Ovis aries: one gene and its partners. The protein of the gene in region 1 purifies or fractionates together with the protein of each later gene. This does not show direct contact. Links are inferred from orthologs where the notes say so. Each region holds a gene or a part of one and is shown on either strand. Other genes may lie near its edges.

Region 1 (11,033 bases):
AAAAATATTGAATAAATAAACTAAGTCACCACTTTCCCTTATAAATAATTTTACTGCATAATTCTTTCAGCCAAACTGGTTTTAACCCTGTGATGCTTATTTTACTGGTAAAGATTAATGTGCAACTCCATAGGACCTACACTTGTACAACAGTCATACAATATAGGTTAAAAGATAAGTGAACCTACCTATAGCAGCAGAATACCAAGAAATAAATGGTTTATTCTTTCTGAATCTGGAGGGGAAAAAAAAAAAAGGTTTTCCTCAATATGTGTAACACTAATAAATTGGAATTCTCCCCCCCTCCATTGGCATTATGTTTTGCTGAGCCACTTAAAAATCTCAATTTAAGCTGTCATTAAAAGACAAATGATGAGGTACATGATTAAAGAGAGCTAAATTTGAGAATTAAGACAAGATAGTGATCATAGATACCAACTAATTTTTGGTTTAATTTTTAATGTAGGGAAAAACACATTAAGGAATTTGGAACCACAGTGTAGCCTCCAACTGAAAAAGTACAGTTCACTACACTGTTCTGTTAACTGTAGTATAATTAGGGTGGCATGCTCTTCACTAAATTTAGAATCATTACAACATTCTTGAGTTGTTAGAGCATAGTAACCTACTGAACACATAATCTGATATCCAACAACCTTTAATTAAGCAAACTTTTGATGTTTATACATTTCCTGATCATTCGTGGTCTTAAAATACATTTGGAGATGTGGAAAGAGTAAATAACCTGTCTTTCAATAAATTTAGAAACATATACTTTATTTGTTCCTGTTTTTAAAACTACTTAGATGTGAAAAGCCTCCCTTTCTATTATATTGGTTATTGGCCCATGTAGGTAAATTCAGCCTTGAAATATTTTCATTTTGTTGATCCAAAGATAATGAAACAACTAAGAGCATTTCCATTTCTAAAAGAAATGTTCCATGTTTTGGAATGAGATTTAGGAAAGTCATGCTGCACTGACTGTCTTGTAATGTCCTGAATTCAAAAGCAGAATTTTGTGGTGATGCATTTATCTTCTCAGCCACTTCTTGTCCCTGGATTAAGTAGATTTCAGTTACTACAAAGAGTAAATCTGCCAGTGAGTTAATGCTTCACATGTGAAGAAAGCAAGGATACAGTTTTCTCACTACTGTTTAAGGGCATCCAATTGAAATTTTTCTAACCAGTTACCACTGCAGAAAATATTTTGACCCCACTTTTATACTTCAGAGTACAAATATCCTCTATCCACAATGCATATACAGCTGATGCACAGTGAAGCGGTCGCCTAGAACCACCAGGGTAAAAGAATACTTCCCTTTGGAAGATTAGAACTTCAAATCTGAGTTTTTCTTCTTTATGCAATCAGGAAGGCTGAAAAGAGGTCATTACCTTGTTAGAAGGCTAACACACTGGCCAGAGGGATACTGAATGGGCTCCAATGTGACTTTTCTCAGGTTCTCATTTGGAGTTAGGGTTGGGGTAATTAAAGAGAAGTGTGCATAAGACACATAAAGGGAAATCCTAGGGATGATGAGGCTGGACTAATAAAAAGTCATGGAAATTCTGGAATGTGTATTATGATTAACTGTAGCAGCACTAGTAAGTAGGCGTAGATAAATACTTGTTGAATGAATGGTCTTATAGATGCTTTGCAAACAAGAGTGGATTTGAAATAAATTTTGGGGGAGACTTTTGAAAGGAGACATTTCATAAAAGTGGCTACCCTAATAGGAATGGTACAAATATTAAAAACAAAAGATTCAACTCTAATAAATAAATAAGAAAGAATATGACAGGATGGATTGCTTAATGATGATGCAACCAACATTCTGGTCTTAAAGGACTATATATTGTACTATTGTGATGTACATTTAATGCTGTAATAAATATCACAGAAAATTATTAAAGTACTAGGTTTCCACCATGATGCAGCACTTCTAAAAATGCCTCTAATGGCATGGTTAACAGAACTGCTGAAATGTTACTTCATTATTCAGAGGACACATGCAGATACAGATGAACTGATGACTCTCTAAGGATGGAATACTGCACACTTCACAGATATTATAGTGGAGATTAATAACATTTTTTCTCTTCAACAAGTTGCATGCATTTCAGTCACAGTATTGTTAGACTCAGAAGGTCAGTACATAGGTTTAATGAATAATCCATATTATGCTATTAATGATGTAGGTAGATGTTCTATTACGAATAGTTCTGATAGAGCAAAGACCTCAGGCAAGGTAGAATGTTTAATATAAACTTTAACAAACTGTAATACATGTTACCTAGGAAATTAAAAACCTTACAAAGCTCTGCTTAAAAGATACCCATCCTATTCTAACCAAATATTTTCCTACATGCTGAACTGCAACTTTAGACCATTCTTTTAAGAGGAATACACACATCCAGAACTAGAAACCAAGGCGTACCACAATACGTGCTTTTATGCTTAGTGTTGTGTGTGTGTGTGTTTCAACTGAAAGAAATAAGAATCAACCATTTTCTCCATATAATAATTTAATATATGCCAGCCAAACAAAGTATTTGTATCTTTATTCAATTAAATTAAAACAGACCTGCCAGGTATATTATATAACATTCACTATATACACATGATTTAGGCAATGCAAGGTAATTCTAGATATGCTGATCACTCAACTATTAGTCAAACATGACCGGTGTCAGCGACACCCAGCAAGTGCTCCTTTCCCACCGGGTGACTGCACTTCCACAGTATGGTTAGAGGGACAGCTACAAGCCATGACATGGATTACCAGTAAACTTCTGTGGGAAAAGGGGGGAAATGACAATCTAGCATAAAGATTAACAGTCTCCTAAATGTAAATCATATGCTTGACAGTTACATTTTTAGAAGAGTTCTTCTGTCATTGTTAATGACACAAAACTTCGTTTGAAGGCAACACCACCACATTCTGTTTGTGTAGGGAGGGTGGGTAGGGCGATGCTCTTAAAATTGGCATAATTATTCTTAAAAAAAAAAAAAAAAAAGTACCTCTTTGGTGAAGCCTCGGTACCCATTCAATTCACTGTAATAATCTGTAAACAGGACTGCAGTATGGTGCTGGGCCTTGATTCCAACAAGGGCAGGTACCACAGCCTTTCCTCACAGTCCTCTGAATGATTTTTAAGAAAATATTCTAAAGTAGGACGAGTAAAAGCAAAGGAAAACAAAGGAGGATTTGAAGATCCCTGTTTAAGATTTCTTTTTAAAAAGTGCATAATATTTTGAATTACAAAAACTGTCATCATGTGGGCCTGCTGGATACTAGACTGTTTTCCATCCCTTTAATGATAAAGATCACTTCACAAAAAGAGGACTCCTGCTTACTGGCTGGCAAAAGGTTCCTTTACTTGATTTTCCGGTGAAATCAGTTGTCCACTTCCTCTAGATCAACTTTTCCATACTCACTTTATAATTATGTCCATGTTAAAATTCATTGTCTTATGACTGCATCTTGAAGTAGAGTCGTTAGTGTTTGGAGTTTTCATTTTAACTCCTCAGTGCTGGCACGTTCAGTGCATCCATCGCCAGCAATGGATCTGGGGCTAGGAAAATGTACATCCTGATCCAGAGGAACTCAGGAAGAATGGGCATTCTCCAACAGTGGTGGTCCATCTCTGTGCACGGACGGGTGGGTGTGCTCCCTTTTGTAAGTTTTTGGAGGGAGTTTAGGGATATGCTGAGAAGTGCTTTGTCGTGGAGGAACAGGCGGCCCAGCAATGGAATGGAGGTCCACTTCTTGTGTCAATGGTGGTGACGGCAGATGCCTTCTTGTTCCATGAGGAGAAGGTGTTTGAGGAGGAGGTGGTGTAAAGGGGGAGGGGCTGTTTGGGAAGAAGGCATTACTATGGTCACTTTTTTTGCCCAAAGGGGGAGGTTGGAGATGTAGTGGTGAACTTGAGAAAACATCAGGTGTCCTCACGGGTTCTCGTGGAGGTAATAGGGGAGGGCTCTCAGGAGGGTCTGATATAGAGGTCCGGTCTGATATTGAATACCGTGGTGAATAGGCTTTTGACGTGGGTTGCCTAGGAGGAATTGCTGGGGGGCTGTCCAAATGCTTAGACATCATCTAACATAAATGGGGAAAAAAAGACATTTATTAACAACATATGTAGCACCATGAATATACTAAGAATTAAGCTGGGTTTTCAAATACGTTATTGGAAGAACTCTAGGTGTGGATCAGGGAGTTTTGCCATATGCTTTAAATTGGAGGTTATGGCAGTTCATCCATTAAAAAAATTATTTTTCCTTCAATGTTAAGTTTTTATTCTTCTCAAAATTTTGTTTGCTGCTGCTTACCTATCACTCAATCTAATATAAAATCATTTCAATTTAGCATGTTACCTATCAATTTTATAATGTTAAATTTACTATAATAGCATTTCATGGTATTCTGCAAAGAGTTTTCCCCTGCCTAGGTGCTCTGCTCTCTGGACACTTTGATACCACCGAATCATGTTAACAAGTTGGCAAAGAAAGAAATTTAAACAGGTAGGAAAAAAATAGCTATTATGAGCTGTTAAGGTCTCTTCTGACCTGGAATTTTCATGAAAATCCCACAGCCTGTCAAATTCACCTGTTACAGGCTTAGATATGTAACATTTAGCACTGAGATACAGTTTCATTTAAAACGTGCCTTCATATACAGCTTCAGATCTCTTTCTATCTTTTTACAGAACTGCTTGAGACTACATTACTCTTAAATTATAGGTTAAACTTGTGGGGTTTTTTTTTGACAGTACCCATATTTAGATTTATAAGTATTTTGAAAACCTACCAGAAAACTGCTTTCAGAAGAAAGGAAATAAACATTACTGAATGGTAAACCCATACTTAATTCTGGTTTAAACTCTATTAAGCCCCAGTACCCTGAGTATTAACCTCATTCCGTTAGAACTCAATGAGAGATGAGCACTTGATTATAATGGAACTGCAATGATTCCAGTCTCCAGATAACCAGATGTTCTACTTTACCTTAGATGGTGAAGATTCTGCTGGGGCAGACTCTGGCCGTCTTCGTGGAGGAACAGGAGGGGGGACAGGCACTTCATCAGTGCTCTTGGTTAAACTTATAGATGATACTGAAGCAGATCCTGTAGGATGGTACAATTTTGAAAAGCTCACAGGAATTTTATATCATCAATCCTGCTTATATTTATTAAAAGAAATGTACAGAAGTATCAAAAGCAGTACAATAAAGCAACACCCAACAGTACTTCCTTTATTAAAGCAAACTGCTATAAAAGCATGCAGAAATTTCTCAGCAGAGTTTTCAGAGAAAAAGCTGTCTAAGTTATTCTGTTGTTACACTTCTTGAAGAAAGTAACATTTCCATTGTTAATCTATTACTGGAATTTTCTGGGAGAGAGCAAACTATTAAAAACTTTTGGAATGGTAATTTTTGTTAACCTTTTATGATGGGTTCATTTCCCACCCCGCCCCCACCACGACTGTAGTAGTATGGAATTTCCTTGCCTTCACTGGATAGTCTTTGGGAATACTTTCTGTTCTTAACCACTCTCTCCAATGTCTCTCCCTGCCATCCTGTCCTGGGGAGGGATCTCTTCAGTTTGCTTAGGTATCAGCTCTCCTTGGTGGGGAAGCAAAGTCAGGTTCATCACATTCTAATCCAAAATTTTTCATTGTGATGAACACATTTAAAATGACTGAGGCTATGCTGATAATAAAAACAGAAATTACACTAGAATCTAGTGAACCTGATTTAGGAGTAAACTGATGAACTGGCACTAAAAAGGTAAGTAAAAGCCTCTAATTGTAACCTATCTTACAAACATTTATGATAAGGGCTTAATATAGGCATATAAATAACTACACTTTGAAAAACATTAATGTAAGTTAACCTGTACATCAGCACAATGAAAAAGATGTGAAAAAACACTTAAATGATCATTCAAAATTGTATTTGGCAGGTTTTCTTTCCTTTAAACACTGACAGTTTAAATTTTGTCAATTAAATGTTATAAGATAGAACTTAGAGTACTTTGTGTATTGATATTATTTAAATAAGCAACATTCTGATCACCTACCTTTCTTCTTATGAAACTTTGTAAGTTAGCTTATAACACTATTTTCCATTGCATACATTCTGAAATCATTTGTATGAAGGACAGCAAAAAACAATCTATTGGCTTAAAATTTATGGGATAGTTGGTGAGTTGTTAGTACTTTAAAAACAAATACCTACACTGGAACTTTATTTTGCTTGTCAGTGATGAATATTTAGGTTGTATAATACAGATAGTCACAGTGATAAGACAGCTGTTCTAAAGTCAAATAAGTCATTTGCCTACAGCCTGTGCTGTCCCCAGCCTAAGTGTATTGTGTGACTTAAGACACTGCATGTAGCTGCCAACATTCCCATATGCGCATGCATGCTCTTGCCTTTTTTTTTTTTAAGTTGGGCATTAGAACTCCAAAGTTGGAAATGAGAAATGGTTAAATGTGGAAGCCACCCATATAATAATGTTGTTTCAAAAGAGAAGAAAGGTTTTACAAAAAGCATGAGAATTATATAAGTTTAAGCAAATCATTTATGATCAAAAGATAGTACAAGTGAAGGCCTCACTTCTAAGATGCTGCAAAGCAAGGCACCAATGCTGCCAGACCCAAGACGAGTTTTAGCAGGGAAAGGTTACATTTGGTTTAATTTTTAAAGCCAAAGCAAAAATTATGAGTCTTAAACCAAATATACTAACTTGGGCCATGGGGCAGTGTAACTTGGATAAAGACGGTATCGCTGCCTGTGAAAGGAAACAAGAAAAAGTAGATTTTTTTCTTTCAGAAATATATTTAACTCATCTGTAAAAATTTATTTATAATAGAAATGTTATTTCTGTCATTCTAGTTTTAAAGAATGATAGAACAGTTTAGCAAAAGCTCATTACTACTTACTTTTGAGAAAAAGAATTAAATTGCATTAATATCATTGGGAATTTTGAAGATTCATTTTAGATTCACTATTTGATATCATAATAATTAAATGAAAAAGCATTCATGAGAAAACTACAATATCCTTCTATTTTAATGGAAGACTTCCAAAAACTGTATAAACCCAATTTGAGCAAAGAATTCAGTTGGGCATACAGAAATATGTCATTCACTAAGGATTATTTTTAAAACCCAGACTTGTGAAAATAAGTAGTAAATAATGAATTTACGTTATAAAAATACCATTATTATTATTAGTATATATATATACCTTAGAAAATGTTCTTAGGGCATGTGTTCATCACAAAATAACTATAGCTTTGGAAATTACAACAAGCTGAAAGTGATATAGCTTTTCTCCTTCTATATTTTTAAACACTTAAAATATCATTAAACATTTTTGGTGCTTAGACACATTATTTATACAGGAAACTGATAATTTTTGAATATCTAATTTCAACACTACTAATTCTTTTAAGAAAAAAATTGAAAATTATAAAATGCAAAGCCCTGAGAGCATTAAAGTAGAAAAACTGAGACAAAAGCTAGAGGATCTATACTGGTTCTAAATCAATACAGTCGTTTAGGTTACACTGCCTCATATCACCAACATACTGAACAGATCATATCTAAGAGGCTAAAGCCATAACTCTAGCATGAGACTGAGCTGATTAATTCAGGTTTCTCTCTCTCGTTTTTGCACAACAATCACTCAAACGATTAGGGCTGTTGCTTTTTCTAGCTTCTTTGGTCAGAACAAGTATAATTTTAGGTCCTAGGTTTAGCTGGCAGAACCATTAATTTGACTGCTTATACAGATACAGTGTTTTTGTTTCCCAGACAGCCTTGATTTTAAATAACACAGCCTACTACCTCCTTTCCATATGTACTGATATTTATTTGGAGGCTACGTTACTGAGGGTAGCAATCCAGCGAATCCTAATAAGTTAGCTCTCAAAAGATTAAAATTCACTTTTATACTTTTGACGTTAAATAATGCTACTGCTGTGTCAAAGATTCTCTTCACTACAAATGAGATTCTCTTCACTAACATAACAGGGGTTTACAGGGAGTATCTGCTCCAGTGCTTACTACTTATGTATTTTCCACTTTTTTGGAAAAGAAATAAGTATGCTTTTTGGAGATAAGTGTCAAGAACATGGTTGTATACTTAGTACAATATAGGAGTAAAATCAAAACATAAGCTAAGTTGGTAGCTGCCAACTGCAGGCTTTTAGAAAGAATGATTATACCTCCACATATATACTTGTGCACACAGCTGTAGGCTGGGCTTTGGTCTAATGTATATACAGCAAAGGCTTAGATTTATGTGTAAACTTGGGGCACTTTTCTGATTTGTCACTTCAAACTAATTGCTTAGTCTTACTGGAAAATGCTATAAAAAATTCTTTGAGAATTATACATTATGTATCTCAAGAAATATATACTAGGAATTCTTATCAGCTGGGTACTGAACAAATTTACTGACAGTGACTTAGGGCTGAAATCCAGTTAATCAAAAAGTAGCATCAGCTGGTTAAGTACAAATCCCAGATAACAGATCTGTGGTTTCTCCACTGTGGCTGCACGTTAGGCCCTGCTGGAAGGTTTTTAAAAATACTGATGCCCACGTGCCAGTGCTGGTCTAATACAAGCATGGACTGAGCATATAGGTATTTTTTTAAAGCTCTCCAGGGGATTATAACTTTCAGTCAGGGTTGAAACCACTGTTGGACGATAACCTTCAGTTTATATTTGAGTCATTCTGAGAATAAAAATAAGCATTTTCCTATAGAAAAAAATTATATAAATCATGGATAATTTCTTAAATTCACAAAAGCCTGTAAAATGCAAATGTATGAGATCAGAAACTAGTCACCTACAACAATCTGCTACAAAGAAAAGCTCTGCATTCCAGCTGAAAATGTATCTTTTCTTGTTAAAGTTTTCCCTACTAAGGGATGGGGTAAAGCTCATCTCTAGCACACAGACCAGGCCAGACCCATGGCTCCCTTTTATCATCAGGCAACCTTCAACAGCAATGTATCAAGAGCACTTCATCCTCCTCTCTCCATGCTAGAGCCACAGATACAAAGCTGGTGGTCTTTCCCTTTTCCCGGCCACTGTCATCATCGCCTGAGAGATGGACCTGGTAAGGGCAAGGTGTGGAGCAGGGCTCTGAATGTGAGGATATATATAGCAGCACTAGGTAGGAGGCCAGTTTCCTTCCCTCTCTGTCTTCACCACAAAGTTTTCTGTGACCATTCCTGCCCATTCTGTGGTCATCTTCCTGTGAACTTCTATTGCACTTATATTGTCACTCATTTAGCATTTTGTCAGTAAACTAAAACTTACTCATCGTCTCTGCAATCTTACTGAGAGATGAAAAAAAATCATAGTACAAACAGAATCAAAGCATTTAACCCTGGCTAAGCGTTTAACTATGAGTTTCTTTTATTATGATTATTTTTTTTTAATCTCTCAGTAAGATTGCAAGCCTTACCAGAGAAGATGTGTCCAAGCTTATTTAGCAAGAAATGAGATATTGACAGATATTGGCTGAAGAAATTAATCTTTGTTTTTAAAGTAAATTATTTTGGGGAAAAAAAACTAAAAAAAAGCAAAACAACTACTATAACTGATCAAAAAATTCTAGTCAAATTTCGCCTTTTGAAAACCTTAAGCAATGTCTTTGCTTTGCAGTGCCTTTCTGCCTCTTCGTACTGAGTGGAATATGTCCAGATGACTTAAAAATGTAGGTGCAGCAGCTCTTTCCTGCCAGGCCCTGAGGACAGCAAGGAAGTAGGTATTTGGTGTAGCGGCAACACAATGAGTGCCAAGTTGGATGCGCTGGTGACCACTGGGCCCTCCCCCCATTAACACTAGCAGATCTGTTAAGCAGAGTGGGGTCAAAAGCAGATAAGGACCTTTAATATCCTTAGGTGAGCTTTAAGGAGGGGATTAACTGGGCCTACAGATGGTTTTATATTATACTGGCTTTCTTAATTTCAAAATCTGTTATTGTCAATTTATAACAGGTGTTTCCTTTTATCACAAAGAAAGAGAAACTGAAAAAATCCTCAGGGATAAGATTACAAAGCCTAATTCCTGCTACAGTGGTTTCTTTGCTTGTCCAGCTAATTTAAGTTAATATTATTCCACTGCCACATATGAGAAAACAATGATCCAGAGCATTGCATTCCAAAATGACTCTTTTCCCCTGTTTGACTAATCATTTAAAGATTCAGCACTAGTAGGGAATGTAATATGTATCTCCTGTTTCTCCACATCTTTCATTTTTAGCTACTTAAATAAGAAAAGCAGAATTTGCAGTCGGTGGCTTTCAGGTGATTTCAATAATTCACTCACGTGGAAATCTTTATAACACATATCATAGTCATCTGCTCGAGGAAAAAACCTCTTCAAACAGTTAAATGGGTCATAATAAATAATAATTTTAAGTCAGGTATACTGTAAAAAGTGCTGGTTTTATTTTATTACTTAATTTAGGAGGTTGGCAAGTTGGGAAAACGGTAATATTTTACCTGGTTTTACTTATAAAAAATATCTGACAGCCTACTAGTAACATAACATGACTTTGTAATCTTCAGTAGCCAAATAAAGCCAAGATGTAGTAATTCTTAAAACAAACACAGTTTATGTGGTAGAAAAGATAAGACAAACTGATGGATAACTACAAATACATATTCAATACAGGAATAAATAAGTAGCATTCTGGACCAAATCTCAAAATAATAGAACGCCATAATTTTTTTTTTAAACAGATTTTCTGAGTTGGAAAAAATCTTAAAAATCTAGTTTAATCCACAGAAGGCACCAAAAAACTGTTTTATCTAAAATCAGAAGGCTCACTAGCAGACTGAGATGACAAACTAGGAGTTAGGACTCCTATGTCAGTGCTTAACTACCTCCCCAACAATGTCAGGATGCCTCTCAATATCGGATTTTATTACATCTAATATTAGGGGAGAACTTGAACTATACAATGAGCTAAGACAGCCAGTGGAAAGAACATGTGGAAGTGGTGTGAAAG
Region 2 (10,542 bases), about 110 Mb from region 1:
TGACAGTATACAGCATTGATGTACTCCTTTTCTGATTTGGAACCAATCTGTTATTCCATGTCCACTTCTAACTGTTGACTTGCATACAGATTTCTCAGGAGGCAGGTAAAGTGGTCTGATATTCCCATCTCTTTAAAATTTTTCACAGTTTGTTGTGATCCACACAGTCAAAGGCTTTAGTGTAGTCAATGAAGCAGAAGTAGATGTTTTTCTGGAATTCTCTTGCTTTTTCTATGATCCAGTGGATGCTGGCAATTTGTCTCTGATTCCTCTTTCTTTTCTAAATCCAGCTTGAACATCTAGAATTTCTCTATTCATTTACTGTTGAAGCCTAGCTTGGAGAATTTTGAGCATTACTTTGCTAGCATGTGAGATGAGTGCAATTGTGTGGTAGTTGGAACATTCTTTGGCATTGCCTTTCTTTGGGACTAGAATGAGAACTTCTCTAGTCCTGTGGCCATTGTTGAGTTTTTCCAAATTTGCTGGCATATTGAGTGCAGCACTTTAACAGCATCATCTTTTAGAATTTGAAATAGCTCAGCTGGAATTCCATCACCTCCACTAGCTTTGTTCTTAGTGATGCTTCCTAAAGCCCACTTGACTTCTCACTGCAGCATGTCTGGCTCTAGGTGAGTGATCACACCATTGTGGTTATCTGGGACATGAAGATCTTTTTTGTATAGTTCTTCTGTGTATTCTTGCCACCTCTTCTTAATATCTTCTGCTTCTGTTAGGTCCATACCACTTCTGTCCTTAAGTGTGCCCATCTTTGCATGAAATGTTCCCTTGATATCTCTAATTTTCTTGAAGAGATCTCTAGTCTTTCCCATTCTATTGTTTTCTATTGTCATATAAGCTATTCAGTTCTATTCATCATAGTTTTCAAAAAGGCTCTCCTCTTCCCACTTTTGAAGAGATCAGTGCTTCAGTTGTTTTGCATGTCTTCTGCTTCCTTTGAAATGTTACTCCTTTTATTTGAGTTTAATCTTTAGTACTATAAGAAGTGTTGTTTTAGAGAGAGGTGTAAAGTTAGTCTAGTGTGTTGTTATGTGCTAGAACATTGTAAGTGGAAACCAAAGCCAGGAACACATCACAAGAGGTTTCTATATTCCCTGGAAAGAGGTTGTACTTTAGACTGGAGATTGCCCTGTAGTGGCTAAGTCAACAGATAAGGAAATAAATCTTTTACTGTGGTGATACTTTTTGTATTATTTCTCTGAGATGTTCTCTCTGTTGTATGGCAGTGTGACTAAATCATGGTGATTTAAGAGAGTTAACTAATAAAATGCATGCCGTGTATTAGTTAAATGTAACCATTGGTAACATCCCCTCTCTCTCTAGCCTCTCATCCTCCCTCGTTCCCTCTCTTCCTTTCACTTATTTCTCTTTCTTTTGACTTCTTTTTTCTTCAAAAGCTTTCCTGGGTACTTGAGGAATTAAAAAAAAATAGGCTAAAATAACACTATCTTATTATTTCACACTTTCACTTATTTCCCAGGGACATCAAATACTTTCTGAAATACTCTCCCTGAAAAAAAGAATCAGAAGAGTGGTCACAAAAGCTCCCTTAGTGACCAAGTCACTGTCACTTGCCAAGTTAGTTAAATTGGATTACTGTATCAGTTCTTTGTATTTAACCCTTGAAGGTGATATACTACAAATATGTATGTGTATGTCTCTGACTCAGATTTTAAAAGGATCAATTTAGCTGTTGTATTGAGAAAAGAATGAAGAACAAAGGGTGGGATCATGTAGAGAAGCGGCAAAGAGATCTATGAACAGGCTGCTGGATCAGACCACGCTGGCAGCAGAAAGAAGACGAAGTGAAGTGTTGGATGTGTGGTGTATTCTAATGGTGGGACCAACAAGTTTTGCCAGTGGATTGGATGTAATTGAGGGCAAAGGGGAATCAGGCATACCTCAGTGGTATTTTGCTGGAGGCACTGGAAAAATAGAATTCCCAACTAAGTTGGGAAGTCTAGCATAAAAGCAAGCTTCAGGAGAAGATGAGTTATTCCAATGTAGACATGTTACATTTGAAATATCTAGTAGACATCCAAATGAATATATCAAGTAGAGAGTTGGTGTAATATGAGTCTAGAGTTCGGAGGACCAGCCTGGACTGCAGGAATATTTTGGGTAGTCACCAGCTTTTAAATGGCGTTTAAAGCCATGAGACCACCCACAGTGATCATTGATGCAGAGAGTGCCTCAAGAAAAGATGTCTAAGGACTGAGTCCTGGAGGGTTAGGGAGATGAGACAGTTCCAAGAATAGGATACTGAGGTCTGTGAGACAGGAGGAAAAATCAGAGCGTGTGTGTGTCCTGAAGGCCATAAGAAGGTGTTTCAAGGAGGAGTTGCCTCCTTCAAATGTTGCTGATGGATGACATAAGTAAATGATTGGGAATCAACCACTGGAGTTTAGCAAAATGATGCAGAGAGATGCACCAATAGCCTAATTGCAGTGAATTTAAGGGGAAACTGAAGAACAGGAGTTTCAGCAGGCTAGTCTGGACAGATTTTTTAGTTTTGTTAAAAGAGGAGCAGAGAAATGGGCAGTAGCTGAGAGGGTACATAGGGTTAAGAAAGGGCTTATTTAGGAATTTCCCTGGCAGTCCAGTGGCTAAGACCTCACCTTCCAATGCAGGGGGTGCAGGTTGATCCTCACTCAGGAAGCTAACTAAAATCCCATATGCCTCACGGCCACAAAACCAAAACATAAAAGCAGAAGCAATGTTTGCAGCAAGTTCAGTAATGACTTTAAAAATGGTCCACTTAAAAACCTTAAAAAAAAGAGACTTATTTAAATGTGAGAGAAGTAACAAAATAATAGCATGTTTGTAATTGGTTGAAATGATTCAGTCAGAGGAAAATTGATAACATGGAAGAAGCAGGGGGAAATTACTGTCAGAGGATTTAAATAGACAGAAGACGTGGAGTCTAGTGCACTTGTGGAGGGGTTGCCTGAGGACTGTGGAGTCACTTGTCTATAGTGTAATAAAGGATAGCTGGCGGAGTGTACAGGGAAAGTGTTGGTAGTGCTGGTGGTGCTGGTGGTGAGGAGAGCTACTAGAGAATCTTAGAGGGGGAGCTGCTAAGGAAACTTAGGGATCTAAGTTTAACTTCTTTATTTTACTCAGAAATGATGAAAGTGAGATCATCAGCTCAGGGTGAGGATTGGAGACTGGGTGTTGGGAGGTTCACAGAAGGAAGAACATAGGAAATGTTTGTCTAACAGCAGACAATTGTATGGTCCAAGGTGGGATTTCTCACCTTGAGCCCTGTGGACGTTTGAGGCTATGTAATTCTCTACTATAGGAAACTGACCTGTGTGCATTGCAGCCTGTCTTGTTATATCAGACCTCTACTCACTGCATGATGGTAGCTCCCTTCTTTCTTGACCCCCATTTGTGACATCTTCCAAGTGTCTCTGGCTGTTGCCAGATGTCCCCTGGAGTCAAAATCCCCCACCCAGTTGAAAACCACTGGCCACAGGAAATGTAGTGTGATTATCAGGGAGCATTAACTGCCCAGTGGAGATTCATAATCATGAAATTAACATGAGCCCACTCAGCACTGTTGTGTTCTATTTGGTGTGCAGGTGTAGCACAGAATAAGAAAGTTAAGATTTAACAAGGGTGGGGGTCTTGCCAAATGAATACAATGAAGACAGAGAAGAAACAGGGAGTGATTTTAATAATTGATTATAAAGTTTATGCTTGGTGAGAATGGAAGGGAAGATAGGAGGAATACTAGATTGTCAGCCCTGCTGGGGTCCAAAGATTGTTGGCATTGGAGTCCTAGAGAGAGTGAGTTGTTGGAGCTTTAAAAAAAAAATAATAACCTCCTCTGTGTTGGTATCTAGGGAGGAAATCTCAGATGGAGGAAGTGCAGGATGAACTTATCCACAGACTGACCATTGGTCGGAGCGCCGCCCAGAAGAAGTTTCACGTGCCACGGCAGAACGTGCCAGTTGTCAATATCACTTATGACTCCACCCCAGAGGAAGTGAAGACGTGGTTGCAGTCAAAGGGCTTCAACCCTGTGTAAGTCTCTCTGGGGATCCATTACAGTTCTGTGCTTGAAACATGCAGTGTTTTCAGTTTGATCGCTAAGATGCACAAGTGATTCCTAGAAAATGTGAGAACCCAAGCTGCATCCGTCACACTTAGGAAATGACTCTAGCCATTTATAGCTAAAAAACGAATTGCAAGAAGCCCGGAAATAACTGTCTTTCATTGGCTCCCCATTTTCTAGATGGTGGTGTCTGTTCATCATTGGCTTCTGAAGCAATCTGTTGGCAGCTGTCTTTATCTTTCAGAAGGTCACATATGTAGACTGTGGTCTTAACCTAGACTCCCCAGGCCACAGAGGACACAAAGCAGAAACTTTCCTCCTGTTGTAGCATGTGGACCCCAAGCAAATAAAAAAATAGATGACGTTACTTATCATGGGTTATAACCTAATAGAGCCTTTCCTTTTGGAAATCCATAGTGAAGTTTCCATTTTTCTATTAAAAAATTATAAATATTTTGTGTATATTTGGTACACATATTTGAACATGTGTATTTGAACTCTGAACAATACGTATTTAAGAGAACCTGACACATGGGACTCACCTATGACTGAAAAGAATGGTTAGTCAGTTGCCTGACTGCTAGAAAGTTATCTATTCCTTCTACAAAACACCACATTTCAAGGAATTGCTACTACATAATAAGAATAATAAACCCAGATGGCTCTTTTTTGATAGCTTATGGTTAGTGATCTTATTGCCCTAAGCACTCTAGTACCATTTATGATTTGCAGTGTATAGAACACCTAGAGAAGAGAGATTGTAGAGGACCAGAAACTTTCCTTTTGCTTTTTTCCAGACAGTTTGTATGTATGTATGTATTTATAATTTATATTTATATAAATATGGTTGATTTACAGTGTTGTATTAATTTCTGCTATAAACAAAGTGGCTTAACTATGCATCTATATGCATTCTTTTTTTTATTCTTTTCCATTATGGTTTACCCCAGGATGTTGAATATAGTTCCCTGTGCTGTACAGTAGGACTTTGTTGCTTATCCAGCCTATCTGTAATAGTTTGCATCTACCAACGCCAGACTCTCAGTTCATCCTTGCCCCTTGGCCACCACGAGTTCAGACAGTATTTTTAATGTTCTGTTTTTTTCTTTTCTTTCTTTTGTTTTCTCAGGACTGTTAATAGTCTTGGAGTATTAAATGGTGCACAGCTTTTCTCTCTCAATAAAGATGAACTGAGAACCGTCTGTCCAGAAGGGGCCAGAGTCTTTAGCCAAATCACTGTTCAGAAAGCTGCATTAGAGGTATGACTGTCAACCTAAGAGGGTGTTTTTCTGTATTAGTCATGAGGGTGGACTGCAGTTTGAAAGCTCTGGAAATAATGTTTGTGTCCATATTGGTCACTCTCTTTGCCTTTCATACAGAGCTGAATTCAACTTGAATCAGGTTTAATAATCTATTACTGGAGTCATCAGTGACCGCTTTTAGGGAGATTAATTTATTGTTAAGTGTGCCTGCAAAATGAAGCTTCATGTATTTTTGGATGTCTAATAAAAAGCCTAATGCTTTCATTTTATATGTGCTAACTACTTCTGTAGAAATTTTATTTACTCATTTACTTCAAGTGAATAAATGACCTAAGAGGCCAGAACATTTTTGCCTGTCCTTAACGTTTAGTTTGTAGATTCTAGCAAGTTTGAGATTGCTGTTGTTTAGTTGCTAAGGCGTCTCTGACTCTTCTGTGACCCCATGGACTGCAGCCCACCAGGCTGTTCTATCCATGGGATTTCCCGAGCAAAATATTGGAGTGGATTGCCTTTTCCTTCTTCAGGGGATCTTCCCAACCCAGGGATCAAACCTGCATCTCCTGTATTGGCAGGCAGATTCTTTACCACTGAGCCACCAGGGAAACCCAGGTTAGAGGTTATAAAGTGTTAAAACCGTGGCTGTGTGCCTTAGGCCTGCTTAGTGAACTGAAAGTTGCTCACTCATGTCTGACTCTTTACAGTCCCATGGACTATACTTTTCATGGAATTCTCCAGGCCAGAATACTGGAGTGGGTAGCCTTTCCCTTCTCCAGGGGATCTTCCCAACCCAGAGATCGAACCCAGGTCTCCCACATTGCAGGCAGATTCTTTACCAGTTGAGCCACAAGGGAAACCTAGGAATACTGGAGTGGGTTGCCTATCTTTTCTCCAGCAAATCTTCCCAACCCAGGTATCAAACCCAGGTCTCCTGCTTTGCAGGTAGATTCTTTATCAACTGAGCTATCAGATAAGCCTAGACCTGCTTATACATATAAATAATCAGAGGGAAAATATTAGGCAGGGACCACTGGAAACAGAGAGCCCTGAAGAGTAATTCCTTAGGTATAGTTGTTTCTGTGAAAGCAAGAGTAAATTTTTTCCAGATTGGATATACTTAAGCTTCCAATATCCTTCTCTACTTAACATGGGCTGTGTAAAGGTAGTAGTTTCTAACTGTTACATCTCACAGCTCTTAATAGCGTTCGTGAAAATTAAACTCAGACTCAAATGAAAAGATATAGGCTTTGGTGTGAAATCAATACACAGTTATCTCTAGCAGGTATATTGTGTAAATTCAACAGTTAAATAATGTACTAAATAGCCTCATGCATGCAACCCTGTAACCATTCTCAGTCAGAAGAAATATTTCCCTTGGAAATTTTTCCCACCACATTGATCTTGCTTGGTCCTATATTAGGCTTTCTGTCTGTTGAATATGAATCAGGATTATATCTTTCCTCAGGCTGTTTAGTTACCATTATACATTCTGCTTTTATTGAGAATGTGTAAATTACTCCCTACGGGTTAAGTAAGTTCCATAACCCTAACGTTTCTGAGTTCCTTCCGTCCCGACTCCCTATTGCTGTCATTTTCCCTGACTGCCCGTGTCCTCCTGGCCTCTTGTTCCTCTTCCTCTGGATGTGAATTGTTACCTGAGGTTCTGCATCTTCCCCAGGCACCTTCCCATCATGCCCTTCTCTTGTATCTAGTTCATTGTTTACTCACCTGTGTGTCGCCAGAGACTTCTGTTGATGAGAGAGGATTATAGTGGGTGCACAGGGGTTGTAGGTCAGACTTCAAAAGGACGGAAACCAACAAGATGTCAGATGGTCACAACCCTTTGGTATGGGGAAACTTGGAGTTTTCTGAGCCCAGTCTTTGGGCCTGATTCAGAATCCCCTACAGCAGATAGATGAATATCTTGCTTGACCTAAAGAGCATTCTTTGATAAGTTACCATCTTTTTGTGCTTACTGTACAATCTCTTCTTTCTCCCAGGGAATCTAAAGCATTCCACATGCATTACTGATTTACCTTTAACATGTTCAGGTGAAAGCATGGTGAATGAATGATCTTTAGACACTATCAGTGAAAAAGTGAGGTCAGTGAAGTCCAAATCATCACTCACCTGAAGGGCAGCCTTCAGTTCCCCGCCAAGAGACGTGAGAAGAAAAACACAAAGAACTTTTAGCCTGAGCCATTTCATTAGGTGATCTGCAGCCTCACAAACCACTAACCATCTTGTCTGAACCGTGTTTGTTTTTCAGGATAACAGTGGCAGCTCTGAGTTGCAAGAAATCATGCGAAGACGACAGGAAAAAATCAGTGCTGCTGCAAGCGACTCAGGAGTGGAGTCTTTTGATGAGGGAAGCATCACTAATTAGTTTCAGAATTCCATCATTCTTGGCATGTTTCCACCATGCTTTGTTTTAAGAAGCCATGACAGGAATGTCAGAGTTGTCTTCTTGGTGTACAGAATCTATCGCCATAAAGAAACAATGCAGACCTAAGTAAGCAGAGGACTTGCTTCTGGGCCCATTATTTTTATTAAAATTAAAAATTTTAAGCAGAATTTTTGACCTTGGGAAATATTTTGCATATTTGACCAAGGTGAGGTTTCCTTTAATGGATTAATTATTTCATCTCAGTCTCAATGCATAAGCAGATTTTTTTGATAGTGGTGAATTTATTAATTGCAGCAAAACAAAAAGATAGATATGCCCATGATTCAAAATCTAAATATTTTTAGTTTTGCCTGTGACTGTGTTGTGTATCATCCAGGGTGTAGCTTACTTTAGGCTAGTCTCTGCTTACTTAGGTCTCTTCTTGGACATATAGACTATTTAGATTTATTTAAAGTTCTTAATGCCAACAGTTTTAAAAAACTGAAACATTTAATGAATTGTAAAGTACAACAAGGCCTTGGACATACAAATAGAAACCTTTGGAACATTCCTGAGACATTTTATTTGTCATGGCTCTGTTGTTCACAATTCCTTGTATAGCTTGTATTTTGATTTAGTTTATATTCTGCTTATTACCTATACTGTGTTCTTATATATTAAGAAAGCACAAGTGTAAAAGAGGTCACATACATTCAAAATCTGTCACAGGAAATAGCCTGCATTGGTGTGTGTTACAGTATTTTGCTTAATGAAGGCCTCAGTCCTAAATATTGATATAAGTAGTTAAAAGCAAATTGGGGCCATCTTATGTGTTTATCCATGTCAAGTTTTTCTGGTAATAAGAAATAATCTACACATATTTTGATCCTGTGAAAGATTCTAGGTAGAGAAAAGAAAGAGACCTAACCTTCAACAAAGTTATTTTTGGAAACATGATTTTTGTCATTAAATGTTATATTATTTCACATATATAAAACAGATGTTATGTAAGAATGTTGTATATTTTAACATAAACCCATTTAGAGAGATTATCTAGTTTCATTAATTTTCATAGTGCCTTTTTCACATGAGTCAGCTGGAGAGTCTGCAATAAACAGTATTTGCTGTATGTTAATAAATGGCTTCTGTCTCATTGGCAAAAGGGACCTTTGGCATGAAGAACGGGGATCACGGTTGAGTGGAATGGGAAAAACAGAGGCCCACTTTTTTTTTTCCTTTTTAAACTGATTTCCAGTGAAGTTCTGAGTGGGTAAAAACTGCTCTAGATTACTTTCCTCAGTTTCTCTTCCTTCCACCTCTCTTATTTCATCACATTTTCTTCTACCAGCAAGTCCAGTTGATCCCAGTAGTAGAAACAAACTTACACCCCGCATTTGTGATTATGAAGTGCTGCCATATAAACGCCTTGATAGAGAGCTACAATAACCTGTGAGCTGTATATTATATGTGGGGAGGATTAGCTTCCTAGAGGTTAATTTTCCCCAAATCATGAGGAATATGAGAGCCTCTTGTTTTCCATTTCTCAGTTCCTCCAAAGCACTGTCCCTCAGACAAAGTGAGACAAACATTAGAATAATAATTATCGTCTATCTTTTCCATTTCATAAGCATGGATGCACATGTGTTTATTTTTAAATGTTTTTAATTTTTTAATTAAAAAATATTTTGGCCATACCACATGGAATGCAGGACCTTAATCCCCTGACTGAGGATTGAACCCATCTTCACCCCACAGTGGAAGCAGAGAGTCCTAACCACTGGACCACCAGGAAGGTTCCTGATGCACATTTATAGCTTAGCCCTTATGGAAAATCTCTGAAAATGTAGAGATAAGGCAAAAGGAATTAGGATAGGAAAGTTAAAATAACCTGTGTGCAGTATAGCATAATCTGATTCGAAAAGAATTGGTGTCATTTATGTCTTTATGCTATAAAATTCCAGAGGAAAATATCACAGAGGTAGTAATTGCAGGAAGTAGTTACATCCTTTAGGGTGATGACGACAAAGAGAAGAGTTGGAATTCATGGAACTGAAAAGCTAGAGGGAGAATTTAAGCCAGAAATCTGAGGAGTTAGGCTACTGGGATGAGAAATCTGGAGAAAAGTTCCCACCACTGGTAAATAAACAGACCTCCCAGAATGGGGCAGAGCCTAACTCGTGCTGTTGCCTCAGGAATTCAGAAAATAATTCAGCTGAAAAAAAAAATTGTTGACTCTGTATGACAGTCTATAGGCCCACCCACATCTTTACAAATGACCCAGTTGTATTCTTTTCTATGGCTGAGTAAAATCCCACTGTATATGTGTCCCACATCTTCTCCTATCCATTGCTCTGTTGATGGATATTTAGTTGGTTTCCATGTTCTGGCTACTGTAAATTGTGCTGCAGTGAACATGTATCTTTTTGAATTACGGTTTACTCTGGGTGTATGGGCCTCTCTGGTAGCTCAGCTGGTAAAGAATCCGCCTGCAATGCAGAAGACACCAGTTCAATTCCTGGGTCAGGAAGGTACCCTGGAGAAGGAACGGCTACTCACTCCAGTATTCTGGCCTGGAGAATCCCACGGACCAGACAGGACTGAGCGACTTTCACTTTCTCGGTGTATGCCCAGTAGTGGGATAAAGTCAGAAAGAGAAAAACAAAGACCATATATTAACACATGTATGTGGGTTCTAGAAAAATAGGTATAGATGATCTTATTTACAAAACAGAAATAGAGACAAAGACATAGAGAACAAACGTATGGATACCGAGGGAGAGAGAGGAGGATGGGAATGATGTGGGAGACTGGGATTGACA
Region 3 (11,033 bases), on another chromosome or scaffold:
GTCGTGTCATGACTCTGAAATGATTCTGATTTTTAAATGGGTAGAAGAGGAAAGCTGTAAGCATTTAATAGGCTAATTAACCTGCCCAAAGTGGCCTTGAAGTACAAATACTTCGAGGTAGACCTTATTAAAATTAAATACCAATGCATAATACCCTATGGTTTCTTTCTACTGAAACAGTCAAAGCACATAGGGAGTCTTGGGGTCAAGAAGGCAAAAACATGACTATCTTTGAGAAAACATAAGGCCCTCGAGTTCCCACCATCTGGAAGATGGTGGGTATGGAGCCTAAGGCAGAGTGCAGGAGGGGATGGGGCAGCCTGGGAATACGGCACTCCACTAAGTGCAGTTCTTTCTCCAAGTCAGAAGTGACACCGGAATTTGTGGTCCTCTCCCTGTCAGGCAACAGCACTCTAAAGCAGAGTGCCCTCAGGCAAGAACAGGGAGGGCCAGGGGGGTGCACACAGGTTTGAAGCTTGGTGCACTAACGCAAAGACAAAGAAAGCGAGACTGAGTGCCTGCCCTGGAAATGCTCCAATTTTAAGACACAAAGGAACGTACCTGCAGTAGTAACTGTAGTTCTCACATTACTGATTTCAAAATTCACGTTACAGATGGAAGAGAAAACCCTCATCTATGCACTAACGAAAACGAAAGAACTTCTAAAGGACCCGAAGCACGACAAGGCAGTCAACCTTTCTTCTCATGAGGCAGACTCCACTAACACCCTGTAAAGGAGAGACTGGTGATTCTTTCACCACCAAGGTACTGTTTTAGTGCCGAGTTAGTTCCTTGTCTCTCAACCCTATACCACACCCTCAGGAGTAAGTCTGCAAGTAAATCATGGCATCATCTGTAAAGAGGACTGAATGTAGTTACTTTATTTTCCTCACTCCCAGGGAACTTAATGAACACTCACCTTTACCAGTGAGTTCCAAGGACAATTAGAAAAAATATGACGTCCAAATGGCATTAATTTTTGGTGTTCCCTAAACAGGAGACACCAGAGACTGTGTGACCTCCCCTGCCGGCGCAACCCCAGGCGACTGCTTTTCTAGTTTCTATCCCTGCTGTCTAACAGGAAAGGCATCAATAGCTGCCAGTGTTTCTTTGATCCAGATTTGCTGCATGATTCCTGTAAGCTCAGGGCAGGAAACACATCTAACTCACTTTATGTAAATAAAGCCAGGGAAACCAAGTACTGAGACAGACTACAAGGATCTTGTTTTCAAATACTTTCAAACACACCAAGAACACATTTCAAGATTTGACTTAAGGAGGGAAAAAGGGGTCAGCAAACTAGGTGGCCCGTGAGCCACGTCCAGCTTGCTGCCTGTTTCTGCGAACAGTTCTGCTCTAACTCAGCAAGCTCAGGTGCTGTTTGTCTATGGCTGCTTTCTCGCTACAGTGCCAAACTGACAGAGGCTGCATGGCCTGCAAAGTCCTTTACAGAAAAAGCCTGCAGATCCCTGATCTGAGGAATACGTAATATTTAGGAGGCCCATCTAAAATCTCTAAAATCAGTGAAGACAAGTGAGGCCAATTCAGTCTTAATGATTCACTTGCCTCAGAGATGGACTGAAATGCCCATGGCTCATATTCGTGGATCATTGCAGGTCTTTGAGATTTAACGCGTAGGTATGCTTCCTGATGTCAAGCAGAAGCACCACACTGAAGACAGGTGTTACCCTGATTGTAGTCCGAGTCCAAAAAGATTTTTCTGTAGCTCAACAACTGATAGTAACTAAAACTAAGTTCCCCATCTTCTTGATGAGAGGTACACAGAACAGGTACATTTTAGCTCAACTTAAGGAATTTTCTAAGAACTAGTACAGTCAACAGGACCAGAGGTTCCCAAACTGAAGAGTCAGAGGCACTGCAGCAAATTCTGAGGGGTCCCACCAAGTATTTTGTATTTTTGAGGGAAACAGCAATACCTGATGTCTGTTATGCCATGTGAACTACTAACTCAAAACAGTTAACAATTTTGATATCAGATTACACTACATCCCTTTCAAAGATGTCATGTCTTTGCAAAGCTGGGCTTTGGCAGTTGCTATGATAAAAATCAAGTACGTTATGAAAAAACAGGTGTGGAACAGGAAATGAAGGTGGCAATGTTCCATATGATCCCAAGGTTTGAGAAACTTTGCTATTTAATGGGGGGTTAAGTAACTGAAACTATTTTATTAAAATGAAAATATTATTTTCTTTCAATTATGTTTATTATTTTTTCAAGTGGGTATGAAGTTATTACATATATAGCCAAGACCTGTCATGCAGTTCTTACACTTCCTAATCTCATTTTTTCTCTCTGGAACAAAGGGGAAATTAAGATCTTCACTTCACTTTTCCATATATAGGTCAAAAGGCCTAAATAACTTAAGGTTTCAGAGCTCTACATGGGGAGATGTAGAGTTAATATGGTCACTGCTGCATATAATCAGGGACCCATGGAACTTTACGTCTTCCCTATCTGCTACCAGAAGAACAGGTTCACACCTAAGTCCACCTGAAAAGCTCCTTGGTTACTCAGAAGTCTTATCTATCAAAGGCAAGAGGCCAGGCTGAATCAGAAAATGGAAGTTACATGATAGTACATTCCAAGATAATGTGATTGATCTGGACAGTCTACAGAGGCATGAAATAAACTTTAACACCTGCAATTTACAAGATAAGATTCATCACTATTCCAGCTCCCAAGGAGCCATGACTCATGAAACCAAAACCAATCAAACAGAAATCTCAGATCAAATCTAAGACCAAAAAAGTAAATGGTGCCTCTGCACTGTTCTAGTGCTACTTCCAGTGTGTCTCCTTCAAAATACATTTGTTTAAAATCTGTCTTTATTAGAAGCTCCAGGATGGAACAGATGGTGTCCTCCTGGTTCAGTTACATTCCCCCAGAGTTACAGTGAACCAAGGAATACCCTTACTTTGGTTGTTTGCTAGAATTAATGCCTTCTTTCCAACAACCTTCATTCCTACTAGAGAAATCTGATGGGTGGGAAAAGAGGAAGTAGTCATTGACTTATATTCTACTGGAGGACTCTGGTCACAGAAAATATACCATGCAGGAAACATCCATCTGTAAGGGGAGGACAGGTGGATCCTGAACATACTCTTTAAGTACAGAAACCCTTCCTTCAAAAAAAAAAAACCTTAGAGAGACACCGATATATAACAGTAAAAACAAAGCTGCTTTGACTGAGAGAGGTAACCCAGAGCGTTGCATCCTCAGCTACCTTCTGGGAAATACTAGGAGTCTGAACCCTTATTATACCTGGGGTTCTGTCCACTTCTAAAATGCAATGATTTCAACATCAATTTCAAGGTAACCGTAAAACTTCACTGAAATGTGCCTAGTTTGTCTACAGATCTAAACCTATAATGGGTCGACTACAGCAATGAACTTTTTTCTCATCTGAATGCGAAGGTCAGAAAGTCAGAGCTTCCTAACCTTATCTCCTGGCTTCGTCTCCACAGGGACTAGGCATCAGCTCCTATGGAAAACCAGAAATAGGAAAGGAACGCTGTCTCCCGGCACGGAGACCACACGCAAGGACATGCTGCCAGTTACACCACACAAAACTGACGGGAGGGCAGCATCACCACTACGAAAGAGAAAGTGCCCCAGATGCGATCTGGGCGTGGCTGAAAAGGCCACTGTAGATCTGGACTCCTCATATCTCCAACTAGTTTAAACAACCCATTCGATCCATCTCTTATTTTTTTTCAATAAATGAATAGGGGTATCTAAGGTCTTTTCTAGCTTTAGATTTCTGTGATGCTAAACTTACATGATGTTTTCTTAAGTACATAAGGTGTTTTTAAAGTTATTATTTGGGGTACTTGTTCTAACGTGAAAGAGGCTATCATCATCAGTCAACACATGTGGCTCCAAACTAATACCCAACCAAAAAAGGAAACTTAGTGACATCATAAAGCACTCTTCTACTTTAGTCTTTATTTCACAAGATTTAGGTTTCACAGTAGGAGACCAGCTCAACCATTTTGGAGCACTAAAGCCTCTAATTAAGGCAAGCATCGTTGGGGCAAACAATTCTGGGAATTCCCTGATGGTCCAGTGGTTAGGACTCAGCATTTTCACTGCCGTGGGCCCAGGTTCAATCCCTGGTTAGGAAACTGCTGCTGCTGCTGCTGCTAAGTCAGTCATGTCCGACCCCGTGAGACCCCACAGACGGCAGCCCACCAGGCTCTCCTGTCCCTGGGACTCTCAAGGCAAGAACACTGGAGTGGGTTGCCATTTCCTTCTCCAATGCATGAAAGTGAAAAGTAAAAGTGAAGTCACTCAGTCGTGTTGACTCTTAGATCCTGGAAACTGCTCAGTGAGGTCAAAACCAAACCAAACCAAACCAATTTTCTTTGAGAAAGGAATTGCAAATGGAAGCAAAATTAATGTGGTAACTATTCTCTCCTGGGTGCTAGCTAGCTATTCCCACACTCCAGCCCGGCTAACAGGGCCTGCAATAAGCGTCCAGAGTCACAGCTGTCACGGGCACAGCACCAGCTTGGCTGCTGCCGTCGTATGAACTTAAATGAAAACATGAAGCTAGAAACTTGTTTTCCTTATCCTCCAAATTCTAAGTGGGAAAAAGTAGTGTGACCTAGACAACATATAATTCCTTTCTCATCAAAAGCAGGACACAATACTTTTCAGTCACAACATGATCTCAAAATATACACATTTTAAAAGCACACATTTTTTTCAGTCAAACCTGTAGACCTAATCCTTCTTTGCACCCAACTCTTCAGAATGCAAATGAAAAATTTTAAATCCAGTAATATCAGACTACTTCAAATAAATTTCAGCTTACTGTACAGCCTTTTACTTAGGCAACTCCCACTCCTCACTGTATAAGCATGATCCAAAGGATTTTAGAGATTTCCATTTACAAAAATATATTAATACTTTAGCCCCTTCTCTGCTAACCTGCACCCCTGAGTAACTTCAGCCTATGCTCATGAAATTTAGCTACTTGCTTAAAGTTATCGTATCTGAAAGGCTCTGAAAGACAGGAAAGCATGCCACTTCTAGCTTTTATGCTGAACCACTATCTCTGCATAACTCAGAAAGACAGGGAGGGAAGGAGGGAAGAAGAGAGGAGGTAAGAAACAAAGCTGTGAGCACTAAAGACGAGAATAAACAACGTGATGGCTGGCCAGAGATGGGCTACCGAGGACAACTATTCACCAGTAAAGGTGAAAATTTACTCCTCAGGAGGAACTGGTTTCTCGAGGATAAAATGCAGCAAACAACAAAGACCAAGTAAACCTGCTGCTTCTTGGAACTGACGCTTTTGAGTATCTATCTCATTATACCTATACAATTAGTCATGGTAAGAAGCCCCAAGCCCCCTAAAGTAAAAACACATTTCTATAAGAAAATTCATTTAAGTATTTTGATAGAGACCACTTATACTCAAATTTGTGGAGCCCACTTATTTTAGATAACGATAAACAGAAAGAAACAGGTTAGAATGTAGATGAAAAAAAATATTTTAGGTTAATTCCTGTGAATTCAGGTAGTGTTATTAAAGAAGTCAAAGTATGGTTTAGTAAATCAATCAGAACATTCAGTTATACAGTTTTAAGCTCACTCATTCCAAAATAGGTTTTCTATAAAAAAGAGAAAACCCAACATTAAGTGCCAAGATCAGTACTTAATGGTAAAAGTACCATTCAACATCTATAACAATGTTACAATGCTGCTGCTTATATTCAGCATTCCTACAAAGCTCTAAGAGGTCTGAAAGGGAGACCCTGTAGCAGATCTCTTCTTTCTACATTTTGCACATTATGTACCTCCAAAGCCAAGGCTGTCTTGTCGTAGGCATTAGGGACTCGCTTCTGGATTACCCTGGCATAAATGGGCCCATTCTGGAGGTTAGGGAGCGGAGTGTTGACGCTGGGTTGGGCATAGGGCCCAGGCTCCGGCCCACCCAGTGGCTGTGGGTGGGAACCCTCCTGGTTACCTCCAATCAGAGCCGATACTGAGGCGGAGGCAGGTCTATACTTCTCCACGTAAGGGACTGGAATCATCCCTCTCTTGCCTTCGCTGTCCTCCGCATTCCACCACTGCTCTTCAGGCTTATCCCGGATTCTCAGGATGTCTCCTTTCTTAAAGGGAAGATCTTCTTCATCATTCCCATTAAAGTCAAAGAGGGCTCGTACATACTCTGCCTCTTCCTGCCTGATAATCACTCCACTACCCTGCCTGGATCTGGAAACTGGTTCTATCAACGTTGTAGTGTCCAAATAGTGTATTTTGTAGAATTCCAGTAAAGCAGGCAATGAATCAAATTCTTGATCTCCTATTCGGAGTCTGGAGGGACTCACCCCTAAAAAAAAAACAGAGCAGGGTATTATTGAAAGATATACTGGAGATGAAATGCAGATTTTAAGCATCTCCCCGTACATATTTACTCAATATTTAACCAGAAAGAAAGAGAAGGAAAAAAATCATCTAAATAACCCCTTCTCCTAACAGTAAACTAAAATCATACTTTGTAGCTCAAATGCTCCCTGGGAAGAAGGTGAGCGATCACTACCTGCAGCAGAGAAGAGACAGAGGCTGTGAGAGAGCAACCACGCCCGTCATGACAAGCTCACATATCGGACCAAAGACAGAACACTATGGAAACCTCTTGTTCATTCTCCCAAAACGTTCCGTGGCTATTCCATTTGCAGAGTACAAGGGTTCAAGGCTGTGTTAGTCTTCTTTTTCTTTTCAACCTCAGGAAATGTAGCAACCTCTCAGTTTTCATAGGTCCCAGCAGCTATCCCAACGAGGTGGGATATTTTATTCTCAATTTTTCACTATGCAAACAATGCTCTTATGAGTGCTTTTATTAATGAACATTTTTTATTACCTCCTTAGGATAAACGTCTTAAAATGCAACTGCTGGATCAAAGGGTAAGAACACCAAGATTTATGTTGCCTGTCGTCCAAAAAGTTTTATGATTTCACACTCACACCAGTGGATTATGAGTTCCCATTTCCCCCATGTCCTTGCCAGAACAGCAGGGGTGTCTCTTCTTAAATATCATCTTTGATTGTTTGATGTTTTTCACATTTATTGAATATTTGTACTTGTTTTGTGAAAATTACTTGTTCGAGTTCTTTGTTAAAGAGAGGGCCTAAACTACCCTCACCACTCCTATTAAAACCAGTCAGTCAAAACAAAAACCTAGCCAATCCATCTAAAAACCCTTTGCTGTTAACGCTGCGAAACAGGAACACTGCGGTAGCCCAGCTGTCTAAATTGCTTCGCCACTCTAAAAAATGAGACCAAATTATTTCGTTCCGTGTTAGACAACACTCTGTCCAGATAGACCAGAAAAAGTACATTTAAAATCCTCTAGTGGGGAGAGGTGAAGTGATAAACTTTGGAGGTTAACCAAAAGTCCTCAATACAGAATGTATACTCATGAGTGACTTCTCTTTCCACCCATATGAAACAAAGGCCGAGACACAATGTAGAGGACAGATGCACATTTCTTACATTGCAAAAGTCCATCTGTGGAATTCATGGCTATAAACTAAAACGAGTTAATAGCCCACAGTCAGTAATGTTGGCTGTCTCTCTGACTCAAGATGTTGAAATACATGCTCATACCCAGGATTGTCCATCTATGGCAAACACTCCTCAGACACCAGCAGAATGCAACCCCAATAGCTCCAAGTGCAGAACTGGTGACTGGAGAGAGGATTTTGGTTATGACCATACCAGAGCACAGTGGTGCTACATTCTGGAGTTTCTCTTCTCTAAAGCTCAAAACTGATGGGTAATAATTCCTACTCCAGCCTGGTAAACAAGGAAGACGCATGGCTACCTCATCTATCACCTCTAGGCTACAGTGATCCTTCAGGCCTGTGGAACTATGTGAAGGACAGAGTCAGTGTGAGCTCCAAGAAGACCGACTTTGTACTGCCTGGTCAAGAAAGCCTTAAGGGCAGAGTGGTAGGGAGAACCTTCGAGAACCTGGCTTAGAGAATTGTCCTGGTGACACCTAGGAATAAAAGTTCCCTTCCTAGAATTTACCCAACAATACGCCAAGGTACAAATGCCAATATGGCTTTCACTAGTCACCCTTTAGGGACCGTGTTCATTAATAATGAACATAACTCTCAAGTGAGGAAAAGTTACATGAAAATCTGTCCCCAGGTTTGAGAAACTCACAGCACAGCTGCGCATACAAATGCAAACACAGTGTGGCTGGTGAGCAAGGAGCACAGCAGCGTGTTTCAGGAAGACTTCTTCTCCCCTGGCATTCACTCCCAATTGGGGATGTACTCTACAAAAATCAGTGGCAACAACAAGCTATGTTTTAAGATAGAACAAAATTACTATAAAAGAATAGCTCCTTCCATTCCTGAATGGTTCGTTCTTTCCTTCTTTCGTTTTGCCACATTGGGAAACTTGCGAGATCTCAGTTCTCTGACAAGGAATTGAACCAAGATCCCAGCAGCAAATGCCTGGAGTCCTAACCACTGAACCACCAAGAACTCCCTCTTTTCCTATTCTAATGATGTTACAATTATTCCATAGAGAAATACCTGTTTTTGTGTGCCGCTGCAGCAGTTACATGTTATATATATATATGGGGCAATCAAGCTTCAGGAGAGGAGGGGGAACAAAATACATATACGTAAGTTCCAGATAAGCCCAAACCTCACCACAGCTATGTGCTCCGGCTCCTTTTCCCTAGTTCATCTCTTTCCAACCACAAACAGCTAAAGCCAGGAAATAGAAGGGCGGGAAAGGAAGGAGACAGTCAGTCAGTTTAGAGAACAGAACCAACAGCAGAGTTCTCCGAGCTGGGACTTGGAAAACCTCACTGACTTGTTCTCCATCAAACCTGTGCTGGATTCTAAATGTGCAGTTATGAACATAGTCAGCAATCAGAATCAAGGCAGTCAGAGCTATCTTTTAACCAACAGAGCTGTACACGCTCAACTCATCACTTCCAAGCATGTCCGCCCTCAGGTTACAACAGTTTTTACAATCCCCTGAGAGTTTTATGAAGAACACCCAAGAGCTCTGGGGGCTAAACAGGCCAAGGCACTTCTGGCATGGGCATCGCCACAGTGGCTCCATTATCAGTCTCTTAACCTCACACTTCCTCTCCTTTCCTCTTTCCTAGATTCTCATTCCCTCTCTTCTTTCTCCACTGCCTATGGTATTCATAGAGATTCCTTCAAAGCTCTTACCATCTGTTCACTACAAAAGACTAACAAGGCCACTGACTTCATTTGAGAAAGTATCCTGAAAAAGCTCTAAAAATGGTGGATATCCGCATGTGACTTTGCAGATTCAGACTTATAAAGTTTGAAGAATTCAGGCTGTGGTATTTCTAGCTATCTGAATTGTTATTTAACTTTTGACAGGGATCTACATAATAATAATTTCTATCTAATAATAGTAAGTTCCTAAAAGTAGATGGTATATTATAGATGCCCAATAAAAGGCCAATCAGCTTAATTATACACCCCCCCCAAACCTCTGAACACCTCTGTAAATTTTCAATTCTTCCCAAAGAAGATTCCATAGAATCTCAAGATGCTTCTCAAAAAGTTCTGTGGTCAGACTGGTTTGAAAAAACCACTGTCCAATACCTGCCTGTCTAGAGTCATAATTTCACATGAACATAGGGAAGGCTTAGAGAAGTCTGGCGATAAATAAACGCACTTTCTTTTACTACAGATTTTTTTGTGGGGGCAGGGTCTAAAATCTTTTAAGTAACTCACTAAAGAACTCCTCATAGAACCACTGAATATCTTTAACTCATTAAAGAGTAAATCATGAGGACCAGGTTTGAGAACTACAAGGATGAGCCAAACAAATGAAATAAATGCTGGATGTTCAAAAAGGCAGTAGTGGATAAGAGGCAGTCCCCTAGGATCTCCAGAAGTGGCCTGGCCCAGCACCACCTTGAAGAGGCAGCACAATCATCACCCTAGCATCTGCCTCCACTCCCAAAATGAGACAAGTTTCTATGTTCCCCTCACCCACTAGGGCCAACAAGTAGGAGGTTCTGGGCTGAGCAGGCAATGGAAGCCATCGTCTTGTTTCCACACACTGGCTCCAAGGCTCCTTCATACTGCCTGATGCACCCCCACCCAGCACTTACTCCTTCAGACATGCTGTGAGCCTCTCAAAGCTGAGAATTGTTTTCCATTCTGCTTCAGTTTTTCCCTCTCCACCACATCTGTTAATATACCTAATGGTAGTTCCATTCCTAAGCATTTAATATACTAAAACTCATTTAACCCTTGAAATAACCCTGTCAGTACTAATTCCCCTCTTTCACTGATGAGGAAACTGAGGCAGAGAGAAGTTAAAGAACTTGCCTATGGTTATATGAGCAGTAAGCAGAAGATAAGGAAGGTTCAACGGAGAAGGCAATGGCACCCCACTCTAGTACTCTTGCCTGGAAAATCCCACGGATGGAGGAGCCTGGTAGGCTGTAGTCCATGGGGTCGCTAGGAGTTGGACACGACTAAGCAACTTCCCTTTCACTTTTATGCCTTGGAGAAGGAAATGGCAACCCACTCCAGTTTTCTTGCCTGGAGAATCCCAGGGACGGAGGAGCCTGGTGGGCTTCCATCTATGGGGTTACGCAGACTCGGACACAACTGAAGTGACTTAGCAGCAGCAAGGAAGATTCAAACCCAGACTTCAGAACACAAGCTTTGAACTATTCTCCCAACTCATATTTACTGTTTTATCGACTGTTTATTGGACAAGGTCTAGTAAAACCTCATGTTCAAGAGGTAAAAACTAGTGGATCAATCAAGGATTGCAAAGTCTTCCCAAGAGGTACCCCTGACAGAGTGTGACCAGTAGACTTGATCAAGCCCTGCCCTATGGCCCTGGGGCACAGTCAGGGGACTTCAGGCAACGGCAGCACTGGCAGCCTGTGGGAGCTAAACCCAAGGTAAAACAAGCTGACTGGAAAAAGTGGAGAGTATCTGGTCTATTGTGTTCATATACCTCTAAAATGTATAT

The links.
Region 2: the proteins of SOS1 (region 1) and EPS8 purify together in Homo sapiens (affinity purification with western blotting; 5 studies listed by BioGRID and IntAct, with this or other methods). This does not show direct contact. The link is inferred for Ovis aries from reciprocal best matches to the Homo sapiens genes SOS1 and EPS8.
Region 3: the proteins of SOS1 (region 1) and CRK purify together in Homo sapiens (affinity purification with mass spectrometry; 6 studies listed by BioGRID and IntAct, with this or other methods). This does not show direct contact. The link is inferred for Ovis aries from reciprocal best matches to the Homo sapiens genes SOS1 and CRK.

Annotation. Positions count from the first base shown.
Region 1 is NC_056056.1:85,195,845-85,206,877, reverse strand, and holds part of SOS1 (son of sevenless homolog 1), read right to left. Parts: intron 6,793-11,033; coding exon 6,748-6,792; intron 5,125-6,747; coding exon 5,006-5,124; intron 4,098-5,005; coding exon 3,606-4,097; 3' UTR 1-3,605.
Region 2 is NC_056056.1:199,938,361-199,948,902, forward strand, and holds the end of EPS8 (epidermal growth factor receptor kinase substrate 8), read left to right. Parts: intron 1-3,866; coding exon 3,867-4,047; intron 4,048-5,207; coding exon 5,208-5,337; intron 5,338-7,606; coding exon 7,607-7,723; 3' UTR 7,724-8,862; downstream 8,863-10,542. UniProt on the Homo sapiens protein: Signaling adapter that controls various cellular protrusions by regulating actin cytoskeleton dynamics and architecture. Depending on its association with other signal transducers, can regulate different processes.
Region 3 is NC_056064.1:22,466,452-22,477,484, forward strand, and holds part of CRK (adapter molecule crk), read right to left. Parts: intron 6,363-11,033; coding exon 5,827-6,362; intron 4,147-5,826; exon of another isoform or gene 4,074-4,146; intron 1-4,073. UniProt on the Homo sapiens protein: Involved in cell branching and adhesion mediated by BCAR1-CRK-RAPGEF1 signaling and activation of RAP1.